Linked DNA regions of Drosophila melanogaster. The protein of the gene in region 1 interacts with the protein of each later gene in a pairwise test. Each region holds a gene or a part of one and is shown in the gene's direction. Other genes may lie near its edges. The genes, in order: COX4L and CG30089.

What was found.
Region 2: the proteins of COX4L (region 1) and CG30089 interact in a two-hybrid assay, tested with the Drosophila melanogaster proteins (one large-scale study listed by BioGRID).

What each region holds. Positions count from the first base shown.
Region 1 is NT_033778.4:5,352,267-5,355,365, forward strand, and holds COX4L (cytochrome c oxidase subunit 4-like), read left to right. Parts: upstream 1-1,727; 5' UTR 1,728-1,779; exon of another isoform or gene 1,780-1,842; 5' UTR 1,843-1,858; coding exon 1,859-2,389; 3' UTR 2,390-2,457; downstream 2,458-3,099.
Region 2 is NT_033778.4:15,725,307-15,729,234, forward strand, and holds the start of CG30089 (uncharacterized protein), read left to right. Parts: upstream 1-2,074; 5' UTR 2,075-2,620; intron 2,621-3,928.

The sequences.
Region 1 (3,099 bases):
CAGTATTTGAATTATTTGAAATGCAAATAATAACCCTTTTTTAATAACCCGTTACTCGTAGAGTATAAGGGCATACTAGATTCGTTAAAAAGTAACAGGCAGTGGGGGGGAGCGTTTCTGACCATATAAAGTATTTATATTCTTGATCAGGATCAATAGCCGAGTCGATCTGGCCATGTCCGTCTGTCCGTATGAACGTCAAGATTCAGGAACTATAAAATTATATTTTACATTAATTTTTTTATAATTATTAATTAATTAATTTTTTACATTATTATTAGTCTTGTAAATTTCTATCGTTTTGCAAAAATAAATTGGTTGCCACGTCCACTCTAACGCCCTAAAAGCGCCTAAAGCTGCCACTCCCACTTTTTTTTAAAAATTTTGGATATTTTGTCATAATTTTATTAGTCTTGTAATTTATATATATTTGCCAAAAAACTTTTTTAAAAGGCCCACTCTAATGCCCTAAAACATCCCAAAACCGCCAAGCCCACATTTTTGAAGCATTGTTTTTAGTTTATTTTGTTTCGTTAATTTTATTATTTGGAGTACGCATTCACACTTGCTGGGTAAAACACACACTCTAATAGTCGAGAAACATTTCTTGTTTTTAATTTCGAATGCTGGCATAGTTATGAATGGAAACAGATTCCCGAACGGACTGGACTCTGGAAGGGGCCTTTTATCTGCCAGATGCTTCTGCTTCCGCCGTATGCTCGGTTCTGCGCAATGGGGACCAGAGTTCTTTCTGCCTCTCGGATTCCTTAACTAGGGGTCGTGAATTGGGCGGGACCGAGCCCTTGCGGCAGCCCTCGAACATATGTCCAGTTTGGAAAAACGTTCGAGGAAGTCGATAGACGGGGTTTTGACGAAATGCACTTTGACCGCGCGCTGCGCTTACTCTGCCACTGGATGAGTGTCGCTTTTCGCTGGCCATAGCTCTCGTGGCCCTTGCAGCCACTCTGGTTCGTGCCAATATAGATGATAACCTGCCAATTAACACTGAGGGACGGATTGATTTTGATTTCGGCTTCGAAGAGGCAATTTGGGGAAAAAACCGTAAAAATAGGAAATATCTAAAGAATAGCTCGACAATTTTTCACAAATTACAAATTTAATTATTAAATAATTATTTGGAAAGTTTTTAAAATTTTTGTTTTCGGAATTGTTTTATTTTTGTGTTTTTTTTTTTCATGATATTTACTTTTAAGAGATTGGCAAATGCTTCATTCTCTAAGTAGAGCGAGATTGTCTTTAATGTCTTATATTTTCTAAAGTATAGCTTTTTTTAAAATTCTTAAGGGTGGGCCAACAATGTTATTGCGATTTAAAAATTTTTGAAAAAAGTCAACTAGTTGATTCTTAAACTTTATCAAAATTTCAGATATTGAAAACTGGACGTGGGCAAAAAAAATAATTATTGGGCAAACAGTTCTAGATTTCAAAAATTCGATTTTTCCGAACCCAGCTTCTTTGAGCTGACATGACAGCCATTTTTAAAAATGTTTGTTTTTTTTTTTGTGACAAAAAATTTGATCTTCATAATTTTTGCCACGCCTTAAACAATTTTTAAGAAGAAGTAAAATTTTCAGACTATCTTAGTGCTCAACGAAGAGTGCAATTCAGAACTTAAAAAGTACATCTAGTTTGTAGATAAGGAAACTGTCATATTTTTTTTTGTATTCAACAAACAGACTAGAGAAATTTCATTTTCATTCGACACGAGCAACACAACTGTCGAATTTCCGGATGAAGTAAAAAACAAAAAATTGAAAAGCGAGTATAAAATAAAATACACTCAAGGTACAGTTACGACCAAGTGCTTGCGCATAATTACAGGTACACTGCCGTCGAAATGAGCTTATTTCCCTGTATGAAATTGAGGAAACTTTTCCAGATGACGAGGCGTCGGTTTGCCAGTGGAGGAGATGGTATTCGACTTATGGTCGCCGATCGCCAGGTCGTTGGTCATGGAATCAATGGGCGACCCATATACTTCGATAGTCCGGACTGCCCTTTTCCGGCTATTCGATATCGGGAGGTTAGCCCAGAGTTGTGTGCCCTACGTGAAAAGGAGTTGGACGACTGGAAGAAGCTGTCGCTGGATGAAAAGAAGCAATTATACCGATATAGCTTCTGCCAAACATATGCAGAATTCCAGCACATTACACCCGAATGGAAGATGTGTCTGGGCGTCGCTTTGTGGCTTGTGTCAATCGGAATCGCGATATCGATAACTATGAAGACCGTTCTCTATGGAAAACTGCCGGATACGTTTAACGATGAGCGCCAGTCGGCCCAATTGCGGCGCATCATCCAGCTGCAAATGAACCCAATAACTGGACTAGCGTCCAAATGGTGCTACCGAGAGAACAAGTGGAAGTAGCACATCAACACGATGATTTTCCGTAAACTATGTACAGAAACGTAACTAGCAAAATACAATTCAACAGCAAAGTCGCTTGCCATTTGATCGTTACGTGCTGAATCGGGCAAATACCCAATATCTATAGATTTTTGTGTCTCTAGCTGTGTAACTCGACTATAGCATTTCCTCCCGTTTGAAATTAGGGTGTGTATGTAAATTCTCAGACACAACTTAATTTAGTGTAATTTTAGTCCACGATAGATATGTTAAGCATTGAAATCGTGTCCTGTGTTCCTTTGACTAGTACACGTACACTGCGCGTCATCAGATTAGCGCCTCCCTGTATGCCACCGTTTCATCTTATGATCTGTATTTTCCATTGCACGAAAATCTATCAATGTTATTGTTTTTTGTTCACTGATATTCCCTCTCTCTTTGAGAATAAAAAAGAGGTTGAGAGAAGAACAGTTATCTCTTTTATTCTGCTTTGTGTTAACTTTGGCGCAAAATTGAACACGTGTTTTGCATCATCAGATTAGCGCCCCCAGTTTTGAATATCGTCCATAATTTGAAAGGTAGGACAACAAAATTTTATTAAAAACAAGGAATCTTATAGAAAAAACTATAATTGTGGCAATAACCGTGTCGTTACCGCGGCAGATTGCAGGTCCATACTTCGAATTGCTTCCAATTCCCACGACTCCTCCGCCAAAATTCGAGAAAAAAGT
Region 2 (3,928 bases), about 10 Mb from region 1:
TCCGATTCATATACAGCCATTTTCCATGCAACGCCAGCGACAGCGGCATCAAAAGGAAAAACTTCTTGCCCCAAGCAGGCGAAATCGCTTAAACCGAAGATTTTTTGCCACTGCCTCTGGTGGCTGAAAAGGGGGGCGGGGATATTGGGGTTGGATCGGCGAAAGGGGATTGGAGTTGTCCTGGCGATGCGTCTGCCGGCTGCAGGCCCTACTCCCCCACCACTGCCCTTCGACCTGCGCATATGTCATAAATGGGGTCTGGGTCCTTCGGCTCACTTGCAAGGGCAGGGTTGTAAAAGCGAAATGGAAGTGGTTAAGGGCACTGCCCTATGAAGGGGTAACACCCATCTACAATATATTCCTTTCCTTTGCTAAGAAACCTATTTGATCTTATATTTAAAACATTTTTGTTTGCTGCATATGCTGATTAAAGTTCCATGATGATTTAATCAAGTCATATGGGAGATGTAAGAAAATTTCCCTTCTTTAAAGTTTGTATGTTGCACGTTGTTTTCATTAAAATATATATAATAAATAAGTTAACTGAAAGTGTGTTTTATGGACGCTTTTACCCCAAATTCCTTGTTTATTCTTTTATCGGTCTTTCCGTGGCAAGTGCGATGCAATTGTGAGGCAGTTATAGATACGGATATCTGTCTAAGCACACGTACGCGTGTGGCTGTGTGCGTGGGCGGTTGAAAGTGCGTGTGTGTGGTTGTGTGCGTGTTTTGGGGAGGCATTCGTGCGTGTTTGTTTGGCCGCCGCATACGCTTAGGTCTTTCTATTGAAATTATTTCCATCGATGTGTTTCATGTGGCGGGCGGGGGGTTAAATTGTTTTGAAGCACGCATAAATTATGGAAAATTGTTGAATATACATAATTTATGGCTGGCAATATCAGAGTAATTCAATAAAAGGTCTGGGCTAAATTATTTATGTTCCAGCTTGATCCCGATCGAGAACCTCAAAAAAGCCCATCTTTGGGGTTTTCCAGCCAAAAAGAGACATAACAAAAATCATAAATTTGTAGCTTTAGCCGGCAGTGGCAATAATTCAATTGGAAAGTCAATAATTTATTTTCTGACCAGAGTGTCGAGAGTGAAATTAAATCTAAATTTCAATTGCCTTAACTTTGGGAATAACTCATCGATTTGTTTGTTTTCGCTGTGCTCCATTGTGGTTTTACTATCCAGCCCGTTTCCCTGCCCCTTCGGTTTTGCCGTCCCGCATTTTCCTTTTTCCATATCGGATCCCGGAGGCTGCTCACGCCTGGGCCATAAAACTTTTATATCAACTTATGTACACTTACAACGGCCATTATAACGCATTAAACATAAACGCTGTTTCATGGACCTTCCCGCTACCTCCCCTCCCTTCAGCTATCTAATTGCCAATGCCGGCAACTCACACACACTTTGGGCTTCGGACTTTGGACTCTGGACTATGGACTCTGGACTCCGACGGCCATGGCCTTCGGAAAAGCTAAGGGGGCGGTAATAAATCATTGGCGATGACTGCTGCAGCAACCTCATTGAACATTAAAATAATTGCAAAGCACAACTTGGCCAATGATTGCGCCCTGCGAGTTCATTAATGATAATTAAAAAACTTTGTCCATCAGCAGCCGGCGAAAGGCGGCTGTTCATTAGATGGATGGAGGCTGTGTCAAAGCTGTGTCGGCAATCGGTTTTAGCCCGGCTTACTAGCCTAACTAACGCTTCCGGAACAGCTGGTTGCAGGCCTTTAGGCCAAATGCAATTGCATCTCCACTTCGATTGCAGAAGTCATATTTCACGGGCCCAAAAGTAGGCAACATCCAATTGGGGCCCGATTCCCACAAGTCCTTCCGCCTCCTTCTCCAGCTGCTTTCTGCCAAATGTAAACAAACATTTTCCACACACATTTCGGTTGGTAGCGGATGCGGGACGATTTTCCTGGAAGTGAAATGCACGTGCAGATTAACAGAGCGCGGAAAAGCGTGCGCAGACTCACCAAAAAATGGCAGAGAGCGCGTGTTGAGTTTTCCAAGCCCGAGCCAAGTTAGCATTGAAAAGCCATTGTTCAGTTTCCCAGCCAGTCAGTTCGTTCGCGTTTTCCGTCGCAAAAGCCTGTGCAGTGTTTTTCCGGTCTTCAACGGGACAATTCCCAAAAGTCGTAAGAAGTGAGAAATAGCTGCGGCTTCTAAAAGTGTTTGAGAACATTAAAAGAGTTTACGAGCAGCCCAAAAACTTTGGACTCGAAAGTGATTTGTGAAACACGTTAACTAAATAAAATCACTAGCATTGAATAGTGCCAAAAGATACATATCGGAGTTTTGTTTACCTCTGGCACTACGACACTGAATGGCTTTGACATTGGCGGCACATTTGCATCCGGGCAGGTGTAAATATTCATTTCTGTAGCTGGCAAAGTTGCTGCCTGCTTTTAGCATAATTAAGCGCATCACAACGCCCCCGTCGCCGCCGCCCCTGACATTCGCAAAGGACTCGAGGTGGACAAAAAAAAACTTGGCCAGAGCCTTGAAACTTTGAAGAGCAGCCGCCAGTCAAAGCAGCTTTAAGGTCCTGTTTTGTATTTGCCCCTCACAACGGTAGGATCCGAAGGGCAGGCGAACTGCATGGTAAGTGGAGAGCACCTTTCGCTGCAGCCCTTCTTTGTTTTGACCAAGTTAGCAGCTTGTTTTTAGTTCGTTAATTGAAGCCCTAGGAGAAGTAGGAAAAACTTAAATTGAATACCGCACTTAATTATGCAGTGCACGGGCCTTGGGAATTCATCTCTTCAGTGCGGATTATTGGGGCATGCCTCAGAAGTCAATCCGCAGCACTGATACTCCAGCTTTCCCTAACAAATCTCCCAACTACAAAAGTAATCTCTCTATCACAATTTCTCTGTTCCTTGCCTCGCTTCAAAATCGAAACGAAACTTGAATGGCTTAAGTGATTTAGCAACTCGATCGCATTCGTTTGCGCATTTCGATGCCAGAGCAGTGAGAAAAAATAGTACAGAATTAAAAGCAAAATTAAATTAAAGCATGAAATAATATTTTACTAAATTTAGTTTGTTTTGAGCAACCTGTCTGCTGGTTTTGTGTCAATGCAATTTTAAAATGATTGAAACATACAACGATTTGAAATACGTAATACTGTGTTTTCTGAACTATTAAGTAAACCAATCTATATGTGTTAGTGCTCTTTATTAATGTAAACTTTCATCATATAAAATAAAAGTATTAAGGCCACTTTTAAAGTTTACTTTTATTTCCTTAAATACTATTTTTCCCACAGTGCATTAACTGACACGATTTTTTCCTATATCGAATACGGGTCGGGATGCGTTGCCTACTTTCGGGCACTGGGAAAAACTTTTTAAGTGCCAAAGCAAAAGGCGCCGAATGCCGAATTAAATTAAAAATGGGAAGGCACAAGAAGTGGAATATCGGCTCGTGTGCAAATAACAGAGAAGGGAACCCGGCTTCAAATTCAATTTGAGGAGTATACTCTCCGCTTTCCCTTTCCTTTGCCACCATCCCCTCCGCTCGATCCCTAAGAACTCCTGCCCCGCCAACAATAGTTAAGCGGAAATGTAAGTCCCTGGGGGCACAGGCATCACGGAGCCTTGGAAGTGTGTCAAAGTACGTAAAGCTGAGACGAAGGAATCAATCGAATCGAATTGGATGGATTCGCAAGGAAGTGGCGGCGAAGGCGTAGCGAAAACCAAACAGCCACGGGCCATAAAAATGGGCCAAAATGAGCGGGTGAGACGTCAAAAGAAATTGAAATGGAACTCAAGCAAAAACTACTTTGTTTGCGATTAGCACTTGGCCGGATTATGGGCCAGAGGGGAGATGGTGGCCTCCACTCGAAGGACTGCCAGTATGGCGGCGGGCGTTTGTCGAGAGGAAATGAAATGTGTGTCAATATATTGATTG